Drosophila melanogaster: one gene and its partner. The protein of the gene in region 1 purifies or fractionates together with the protein of each later gene. This does not show direct contact. Each region holds a gene or a part of one and is shown in the gene's direction. Other genes may lie near its edges.

What was found. Proteins that work in one complex are often made in the same cells at the same time.
Region 2: the proteins of Act5C (region 1) and glob1 purify together in Drosophila melanogaster (affinity purification with western blotting; one study listed by BioGRID). This does not show direct contact.

The regions. Positions count from the first base shown.
Region 1 is NC_004354.4:5,899,267-5,905,900, forward strand, and holds Act5C (actin 5C), read left to right. Parts: upstream 1-1,594; 5' UTR 1,595-1,747; intron 1,748-2,715; exon of another isoform or gene 2,716-2,830; intron 2,831-3,423; 5' UTR 3,424-3,431; coding exon 3,432-4,562; 3' UTR 4,563-6,133; downstream 6,134-6,634. UniProt on the Drosophila melanogaster protein: Actins are highly conserved proteins that are involved in various types of cell motility and are ubiquitously expressed in all eukaryotic cells.
Region 2 is NT_033777.3:15,901,617-15,906,305, reverse strand, and holds the start of glob1 (globin 1), read left to right. Parts: upstream 1-1,662; 5' UTR 1,663-1,804; intron 1,805-3,721; exon of another isoform or gene 3,722-3,863; intron 3,864-3,922; exon of another isoform or gene 3,923-4,104; intron 4,105-4,689.

The DNA.
Region 1 (6,634 bases):
AAAGCGAGATGGCAATACCAAATGCGGCAAAACGGTAGTGGAAGGAAAGGGGTGCGGGGCAGCGGAAGGAAGGGTGGGGCGGGGCGTGGCGGGGTCTGTGGCTGGGCGCGACGTCACCGACGTTGGAGCCACTCCTTTGACCATGTGTGCGTGTGTGTATTATTCGTGTCTCGCCACTCGCCGGTTGTTTTTTTCTTTTTATGCTGCGCTCTCTCTAGCGCCATCTCGCTTACGCATGCTCAACGCACCGCATGTTGCCGTTTCCTTTTATGCGTCATTTTGGCTCGAAATAGGCAATTATTTAAACAAAGATTAGTCAACGAAAACGCTAAAATAAATAAGTCTACAATATGGTTACTTATTGCCATGTGTGTGCAGCCAACGATAGCAACAAAAGCAACAACACAGGTGGCTTTCCCTCTTTCACTTTTTGTTTGCAAGCCGCGTGCGAGCAAGACGGCACGACCGGCAAACGCAATTACGCTGACAAAGAGCAGACGAAGTTTTGGCGAAAAACATCAAGGCGCCTGATACGAATGCATTTGCAATAACAATTGCGATATTTAATATTGTTTATGAAGCTGTTTGACTTCAAAACACACAAAAAAAAAAATAAAACAAATTATTTGAAAGAGAATTAGGAATCGGACGCTTATCGTTAGGGTAACAACAAGAAATGCTTACTGAGTCACAGCCTCTGGAAAACTGCCGCAAGCCAGAGAGAGAGAGAAAAAGAGGGAGAGCAGCTTAGACCGCATGTGCTTGTGTGTGAGGCGTCTCTCTCTTCGTCTCTGTTGCGCAAACGCATAGACTGCACTGAAAAAATCGATTACCTATTTTTTATGAATGAATATTTGCACTATTACTATTCAAAACTATTAAGATAGCAATCACATTCAATAGCCAAATACTATACCACCTGAGCGATGCAACGAAATGATCAATTTGAGCAAAAATGCTGCATATTTAGGACGGCATCATTATAGAAATGCTTCTTGCTGTGTACTTTTCTCTCGTCTGGCAGCTGTTTCGCCGTTATTGTTAAAACCGGCTTAAGTTAGGTGTGTTTTCTACGACTAGTGAATGCCCTACTAGAAGATGTGTGTTGCACAAAATGTCCCTGGAATAACCAATTTGAAGTGCAGATAGCAGTAAACGTAAGCTAATATGAATATTATTTAACTGTAATGTTTTAATATCGCTGGACATTACTAATAAACCCACTATAAACACATGTACATATGTATGTTTTGGCATACAATGAGTAGTTGGGGAAAAAATGTGTAAAAGCACCGTGACCATCACAGCATAAAGATAACCAGCTGAAGTATCGAATATGAGTAACCCCCAAATTGAATCACATGCCGCAACTGATAGGACCCATGGAAGTACACTCTTCATGGCGATATACAAGACACACACAAGCACGAACACCCAGTTGCGGAGGAAATTCTCCGTAAATGAAAACCCAATCGGCGAACAATTCATACCCATATATGGTAAAAGTTTTGAACGCGACTTGAGAGCGGAGAGCATTGCGGCTGATAAGGTTTTAGCGCTAAGCGGGCTTTATAAAACGGGCTGCGGGACCAGTTTTCATATCACTACCGTTTGAGTTCTTGTGCTGTGTGGATACTCCTCCCGACACAAAGCCGCTCCATCAGCCAGCAGTCGTCTAATCCAGAGACACCAAACCGAAAGACTTAATTTATATTTATTTAATTAATTTTAATAAAACACACCAAATGTAAGTAGCTTTCCCCTTCCCAACAACAAAACACCATCGAACCACTCCCACCAAGAAAAAGCAATAATCGAGAAAAGCCGCGGAAAATGTGTGATTTTTTTTGTAAACAAAACATTTTTTTATGTGCCAGTGCTGAAAGTGATCAAAAAATACTAGCCACGAGCTAAAGAGTTATTGTATTGACCAAAACTCCAAAAATACCCAAGTTTGGCCCTAAATTGTCAATCAAAATACCAATAGGTCGAAAGACATCAAAATTAACAAAACCAGGGTTTCAAATACCATAACTCAAGAATCAGGATTACAACTGCAGATTTCAGGATATATACATACAAATTATACGAAATTATAAAAACCAAAGCAATTCAATAGCCCCAACTCAAATGTTAGGATCTAATATAGTGTTTAAAGCCAAGCTCGCTGATGTGGGCGTGTCACGATTTCACCCAAAGATATGCCAAATTACGAATTGCAAATCAATTCGCCAACACTTTCTTTTTTTCCCACGCCCTAAAACACCAGATCATCCATAAATGTACATACATACAGTATATGCATATTATAATCTGTAAAACTAGATCAGGTTCTTGAAAATAGTGACGTAGGCAGCCGTTTTGGCTGAAGCAGAAATTTTTGCCGGTTTTTCAAAGTTGTAGTTGCAAAAATGGAGAAAACCTTCGAGCATTCGTTCATATACACACACTCACGCGCAAAATAACGAGAGAGAGTGTATGTGTGTGTGAGAGAGCGAAAGCCAGACGACGGTTTGCTTTTCGCCTCGAAACATGACCATATATGGTCACAAAACTTGGCCGCCGCAATTCAACACACCAGCGCTCTCCTTCGCACCCATAGCGACCATGGCGCGGAGCGAGCGAGATGGCGAGAGCGAGCGACGCCTATGGCGACGTCGACGCAGGCAGCGATTGAAAAACGCAGTTAACTGGCATTCAACATTCACCAGCCACTTTCAGTCGGTTTATTCCAGTCATTCCTTTCAAACCGTGCGGTCGCTTAGCTCAGCCTCGCCACTTGCGTTTACAGTAGTTTTCACGCCTTGAATTTGTTAAATCGAACAAAAAGGTAAAGTTTAACTAGCTTTGAAAAGTTTCGTGGCTCTTAATTGTTAAATTTTCTAGAGTGCGTTTAGTGTTTTTTTTTTTTTTTATTTTGTAATGTTAATTTCGGGTTCCAATTCGAGTTTTAGGCAGCCGCCATTTTAAGGGCGCATACACACAGGCAACTGTGCTCTCTTTGCGGCTTTCTTTTGCACCGGCATTCGTTAAGTGTCGTCTAGAAGCTTCTCCCCTCCCTTTTCGGCATATTCGTATTGTGGTTTTAATTTTTCGGGGCGGGGCCTTCTATTTTGTAACTGTTCTTTTAATTTCTTATTACAATTCGATCGCAAGTGAAAATCAGTTTTCAATCGGAAAAGTATTTTTTTATGAAATTTTTTTTGTCCAAGATTAAAATTTTGTACTAAAAAAACGTACATTGCATTGAGTGATTTTTAATTGTACACGAAAAACAAGTTAGTTTGTTATGACAATTGTACTTTGGTAGACCAGCGCAGTCCAAGGAAACCACGCAAATTCTCAGTTTTTTTTTTGCCATTTCTACATTACCAAATAAGGTAACCAAAAACTAATGGGAAATCCGCATTCTTTCCATTGCAGCTTACAAAATGTGTGACGAAGAAGTTGCTGCTCTGGTTGTCGACAACGGCTCTGGCATGTGCAAGGCCGGATTTGCCGGAGACGATGCTCCCCGCGCCGTCTTCCCATCGATTGTGGGACGTCCCCGTCACCAGGGTGTGATGGTCGGCATGGGCCAGAAGGACTCGTACGTGGGTGATGAGGCGCAGAGCAAGCGTGGTATCCTCACCCTGAAGTACCCCATTGAGCACGGTATCGTGACCAACTGGGACGATATGGAGAAGATCTGGCACCACACCTTCTACAATGAGCTGCGTGTGGCACCCGAGGAGCACCCCGTGCTGCTGACCGAGGCCCCGCTGAACCCCAAGGCCAACCGTGAGAAGATGACCCAGATCATGTTCGAGACCTTCAACACACCCGCCATGTATGTGGCCATCCAGGCTGTGCTCTCGCTGTACGCCTCCGGTCGTACCACCGGTATCGTTCTGGACTCCGGCGATGGTGTCTCCCACACCGTGCCCATCTACGAGGGTTATGCCCTTCCCCATGCCATCCTGCGTCTGGATCTGGCTGGTCGCGATTTGACCGACTACCTGATGAAGATCCTGACCGAGCGCGGTTACTCTTTCACCACCACCGCTGAGCGTGAAATCGTCCGTGACATCAAGGAGAAGCTGTGCTATGTTGCCCTCGACTTTGAGCAGGAGATGGCCACCGCTGCCAGCAGCTCCTCGTTGGAGAAGTCCTACGAGCTGCCCGACGGACAGGTGATCACCATCGGCAACGAGCGTTTCCGCTGCCCCGAGGCCCTGTTCCAGCCCTCGTTCTTGGGAATGGAGGCTTGCGGCATCCACGAGACCACCTACAACTCCATCATGAAGTGTGATGTGGATATCCGTAAGGATCTGTATGCCAACACCGTGCTGTCCGGTGGCACCACCATGTACCCTGGCATCGCCGACCGTATGCAGAAGGAGATCACCGCCCTGGCACCGTCGACCATGAAGATCAAGATCATTGCCCCGCCAGAGCGCAAGTACTCTGTCTGGATCGGTGGCTCCATCCTGGCTTCGCTGTCCACCTTCCAGCAGATGTGGATCTCCAAGCAGGAGTACGACGAGTCCGGCCCCTCCATTGTGCACCGCAAGTGCTTCTAAGAAGGATCGCTTGTCTGGGCAAGAGGATCAGGATCGGGATGGTCTTGATTCTGCTGGAGGAGGAGGAGGAGAAGTCGAGGAAGCAGCAGCGAAAGTGCAAGTGCGAGTGGTGGAAGTTTGGAGTGCAGCACAACAAAATCAACAACAACACCAACTACAAGATGAAAAGAGCGGAACCACCTGCACACCATCATCATTATCATCATCGTTTTGGGCGCATGTTGTGTGGTTCCAGCGTATTAATATAATTAATTTATTCCACATGAGATATGATATGATATACTATGTATTTTTTGTTTTTTTTTTATTTGTAAACCTTTAATATAACAAGAACTACAAAAAATGAAAATGAGCGAAAATGCATATTCTGCCATTCCACACACACACCAACAACACCCAACACACGCACACCCACAAGCTTACACACACACATTCGCGGCATGACAAGGACATCAAGATAAAGAAGAACTTAAAGAAGATATTTCCCAAAGCGCAAAAAGAACACACACACATTGCAAAACACAAACAACACACTAGCGTTTTGTACAATTCGTCAGCAACCTTATGTATTATTTTTTAATTATGATGTAATTATAAACAAAGTGAAACAAAAATATGAAAACAAAAAGGAAAATCAAATCTGTCTTCTCTTTCTCCCGCTCTCCTCGCTCTCTGCTGCTAACCTCGCCCTCTCCTCTCTCATCTTTTTGTCTGTCTCTCTTCCACATTTTTGCCGGCCGGCAAAATAATAACCCACACACACTCACACTTGGCTGCAGTTTCGCGTGCGATATTCACACACATTCAAGCATACAAGCATACATACATATGTATTTTTTTTTTATTTGTACACTTTTCTAATTGCATGCGTATCGATTGATAAGTTTACGCCTGAAAATGTTAATTAAAATGTGAAAATGCAACTGAAAAACTGATGAAATGAAACAACAACAAGCGAACAATTTGCTACATGTGTATTGTCTAACAACCGTTACTGCAACGGTTGCTTCGGAAAAGGGTGAAGAGGAAGAGGGCACGAGGTCGACGAACTAAGGCTGCGACGACAAGCGGCTGTCTCGCTCGCACGCACGCACGCATGCGGGCTAATGATGCGATTAAAGTGCCGTTTTAAATGGCCAAGATCCAAATAAAAGTCGAGATAATAAGGCAAACACGCTAACACAAATCGCTGGCATAGTTTCATCCGCCAGTTTGGCCAAAAGCAGCGGCTGCAAGCGCCGTTTATCCGGTTTTTCCCAAACATTTTCCATTCATGCGGCCAAAGAGGAGGAGCACCCATCTTTCCATCTTTCTCTGACTCGCACGGGCAATGCAGTGCACCGGAAAGAAAGTGGTGCGAATTGGGATTTATAGACTTACTTTATAGACTTACACGTACAAATATACATAGATATTATATTATTTAAATACATTTTTATTATATTGCTTATATATTAGTTCGACTTCGATATCATTTCTGCCAGTATAATTATGGGCTCTGCTTGATTTGGCGCTCGGATGCTACGGTAAAAGTTATCTTTCTGTGCTTTCTCCTTTGATTCTTGAGTTTCAACGGTTCCGTTTTTGTTGATCTCGTTCATCTTCTTCTTCTTGCGTTCTAGACGTTCTCCTTTGTTTTTTGTTCACAACGGATTTCGTAGCACCTTGAGCGGTTTAAATATACATACATATGTAATACATACATAAATACATATGTAGTTAGTGTTTTTTTTCGATATTCGTATGCCCAAATGTTCGAATAATTAGTAGGTCTCATTAAAAACATCACAAATTAAGAGTAAAGCAATAAAAATATAGAAATATGTAGTATAAAATAGTATTCTAGGACTAAGATTGGTCATACCTGCGGTTTCTATGTGAATATGATGCGATGTGTTGCTTCCCCACTATCTACAGGGTATCGCACTCTACGCTTACAAAGTATGAGCCTACCAACTGAATATTCAGCGATGTGATCCCTTTTGGCCAAGGGTCAGCAGCGCGATTGGCCGGATTTCAATATTCCCGCCTTGAGTCCGCCGTACTTCGCACAGAAGCACTTGGAGCAGCGA
Region 2 (4,689 bases), on another chromosome or scaffold:
TCGCGTTGATCGAGTTTTATCTGCTCTTTCCGACCAACTACCTTTATGGCTGAAACGATACTGAGCGGGTTTGCCACACTGCGGATCTGGCCGCTCATATGCTTGCTGAACACACAAGTAGTTCCCCCGAAAAATTGGATAACACGCTCTCCCTCTCCAATTATTTTCGTTTTCGGCGCTCTCTGGGGGATCATTGTTGTGGTTTGTTTTCACCTCGCGAGCAGCCTTTTGTTTACTCAGGAGCGGATTCGTTGGGCCCCCATGCCAAATTTCAAGTTTGAGGACATAAATGACAATGTGCAGCATATGGTATAATTTATGCGGCCAGTCAAAGTAGGAAAACAATTAGTTTCCTAAAGAAATAAAGCTAAGCCAAACGAATATAAATAAAATGTAACTGAAAAACTAATATTCTGTTTTACCTTGGATAATCATTTATATTTTAATTCATTTTATAAAAAGGTTTACAATTGAATCAGTCTTTAAACGTGCATGAATGAAACCAATTATTCTTTTCCACAATACTTCTAGTACCTATAGATATTTAAAATTCAATTCATATTTTTGTGGGAACATATGGCACGTGGCAAGCCTACTAATTTTTGGTACTTAAGGAATTTCATCCAAAGTCTCTTTTAATTACTAACATCGTGTCTTGAATCTCTCATCTGGAAGTACTAAACAAATAATTTAATCACGCACTTACTAATTTGTTTGTTTCAGCGAATATAGCGTCATTTGTATTAAAGTCTCGACTGTAATATAATTACTTCCAAATTGGGCTTAAACCATACTGTGTTTAACAAAAAAAACTTCAACAGGAAACTGTGACGTGATTTGAAAAAAAATTGACAATAAATTGTGAACAAAATATTGTATAATTGAACACCTATAATTGCAGTGCGAAATTTTCTTAGGGCTTGATTTTTTTTTAATATCAACAAGATTTTACTCTTATATTGTCTGGACTGCAGTTCCTACAATTAGTTGAAAATAGTCTTTAAAACGTAAATAAAATTAAATACATTGTCGCCAAAGATGGAATGACGAAAACGACATTAACTTTCACAATCTAATACCAAGATATCCATCATGCTATATTTAAATTAACCTTGATCAATAATTATTCAAGGCACGGGAAAACAAATAGCTCGTCACGAAAGGTGTTATTTGTTTGCAGTTTGCTTTTGGATTGGATCCACCTGGTAGAAGAATTTAGTGTACTAAAGGAGAGCTTTACAAATATTGTAATTTGATACATTATGTTTTGGATTAGCATTTGATTTATTCTTCACAGTGAAGCGAATTGTTTGCTTTGTTACAATCATCTAATATTTTCGAATACAATGTTTGCCTTTTTTAAGCTTAGGTATAGGTAAATTTGATTATCAAGGTTAGTTCTTTATACTTAAAGTAATTATGTCTTGTAGTCTAGCCGAAAACTGGATTTTGCTGCTTCTTTTAATCTCCTGACTCCTAAAACTCCGAAGCTTCAAAATTCGGAGCGCGCGTTTTATTGATTCGCTTCGTTCTAATGTTGTGACAAGCAGTCTCAGACAATATTTACCAAATCTTACGAAATGAAAGACCCATACGTATACTTTCACCCAAGTTGACCTCTCTGGATGATAGTGTACGAAGATTATCAGCTCGGAAACTTTTGTAGCTTCGTTTGCTGCGTTTATTTTGTGTCAGTTGTTGTTGCCGCTCGGAAGTCTTTTATAAAGGCCAGTCGGGCTAGAAATTCTATTCAGTTCAAATATTAACGGCGTCGTGTGCAGTTGCCTGGCATTTGATATAAACTGTGAGTGTGAATTGGAAAATAGTGTTCTATCCCATCCATATTTATGCAAATATTTATAGTAGAGTGATTGCATTCGTAAATCGACGTTGCTTACAATTCCCGTTCATATAGTAGCAAAATAAACAATCCGTGTGCGGTGTGATATTTGAATGCAACGCATTTTGTTGGGTATAAATTGGCAGTGCTTGTTTGTTTGTCCGCCACTTGGTTTATTGAAAATTACTGATGGAGGCTTATTAAGGTAGTGATAGTGAATAAACATTTATAAAAATAGTACAGCGCCACGATAAGGCTAAATCTTTCACTTGTGCATGTGATATATTGATAAGAACAAATAGAAGATTATTGTTGAAGTAAAGAATAAACAAATAAACAAAACAACTGAATGGAGTGTTTGAAAAGATTTGTCATATTGCGAATCTTAAACATCGAAATATTAAGAGTCGACCTAACTAGTTTTAAAAATCTTTGAATTTTTTCATTTCTAATACAAAATGTGCTTTCATTTGTTTTGCTGGATTAATTACATAATTATATTTGAAGATAGCTTAGACATCACGACAACAAATATTTGTTTATAGCTCCTAAAGCTTAGATTACATTGCGCATTTGAAGAAAGCCACTGCCCAACGGTTAAGTAAGCTTTTCCTGTTCTAAGCCCAAGCTTTTAAGAGATAGCTTTGTTTTGGGGCCAGCACTTTGACTACGCTCCTTTAAAACGTCGGAAGGTCCACAGGTGTCACTGGAAAATGTTTGATTTGGGCGTGTTGGTTCGACAGGTGTCGTCCCATTTTGAATTTGTTATGAAATGTGACAGCAAATCGGGGGAGTGTCCATAAGTGGGCTCTACGCCTGATCGGAATATCAATTGTTTTGGGCAAATGACACACCTCAAAGCCCCCGTTGAACTACGCCTCTCTCATCTGGAAGTACTAAACAAATAATTTAATCACGCACTTACTAATTTGTTTGTTTCAGCGAATATAGCGTCATTTGTATTAAAGTCTCGACTGTAATATAATTACTTCCAAATTGGGCTTAAACCATACTGTGTTTAACAAAAAAAACTTCAACAGGAAACTGTGACGTGATTTGAAAAAAAATTGACAATAAATTGTGAACAAAATATTGTATAATTGAACACCTATAATTGCAGTGCGAAATTTTCTTAGGGCTTGATTTTTTTTTAATATCAACAAGATTTTACTCTTATATTGTCTGGACTGCAGTTCCTACAATTAGTTGAAAATAGTCTTTAAAACGTAAATAAAATTAAATACATTGTCGCCAAAGATGGAATGACGAAAACGACATTAACTTTCACAATCTAATACCAAGATATCCATCATGCTATATTTAAATTAACCTTGATCAATAATTATTCAAGGCACGGGAAAACAAATAGCTCGTCACGAAAGGTGTTATTTGTTTGCAGTTTGCTTTTGGATTGGATCCACCTGGTAGAAGAATTTAGTGTACTAAAGGAGAGCTTTACAAATATTGTAATTTGATACATTATGTTTTGGATTAGCATTTGATTTATTCTTCACAGTGAAGCGAATTGTTTGCTTTGTTACAATCATCTAATATTTTCGAATACAATGTTTGCCTTTTTTAAGCTTAGGTATAGGTAAATTTGATTATCAAGGTTAGTTCTTTATACTTAAAGTAATTATGTCTTGTAGTCTAGCCGAAAACTGGATTTTGCTGCTTCTTTTAATCTCCTGACTCCTAAAACTCCGAAGCTTCAAAATTCGGAGCGCGCGTTTTATTGATTCGCTTCGTTCTAATGTTGTGACAAGCAGTCTCAGACAATATTTACCAAATCTTACGAAATGAAAGACCCATACGTATACTTTCACCCAAGTTGACCTCTCTGGATGATAGTGTACGAAGATTATCAGCTCGGAAACTTTTGTAGCTTCGTTTGCTGCGTTTATTTTGTGTCAGTTGTTGTTGCCGCTCGGAAGTCTTTTATAAAGGCCAGTCGGGCTAGAAATTCTATTCAGTTCAAATATTAACGGCGTCGTGTGCAGTTGCCTGGCATTTGATATAAACTGTGAGTGTGAATTGGAAAATAGTGTTCTATCCCATCCATATTTATGCAAATATTTATAGTAGAGTGATTGCATTCGTAAATCGACGTTGCTTACAATTCCCGTTCATATAGTAGCAAAATAAACAATCCGTGTGCGGTGTGATATTTGAATGCAACGCATTTTGTTGGGTATAAATTGGCAGTGCTTGTTTGTTTGTCCGCCACTTGGTTTATTGAAAATTACTGATGGAGGCTTATTAAGGTAGTGATAGTGAATAAACATTTATAAAAATAGTACAGCGCCACGATAAGGCTAAATCTTTCACTTGTGCATGTGATATATTGATAAGAACAAATAGAAGATTATTGTTGAAGTAAAGAATAAACAAATAAACAAAACAACTGAATGGAGTGTTTGAAAAGATTTGTCATATTGCGAATCTTAAACATCGAAATATTAAGAGTCGACCTAACTAGTTTTAAAAATCTTTGAATTTTTTCATTTCTAATACAAAATGTGCTTTCATTTGTTTTGCTGGATTAATTACATAATTATATTTGAAGATAGCTTAGACATCACGACAACAAATATTTGTTTATAGCTCCTAAAGCTTAGATTACATTGCGCATTTGAAGAAAGCCACTGCCCAACGGTTAAGTAAGCTTTTCCTGTTCTAAGCCCAAGCTTTTAAGAGATAGCTTTGTTTTGGGGCCAGCACTTTGACTACGCTCCTTTAAAACGTCGGAAGGTCCACAGGTGTCACTGGAAAATGTTTGATTTGGGCGTGTTGGTTCGACAGGTGTCGTCCCATTTTGAATTTGTTATGAAATGTGACAGCAAATCGGG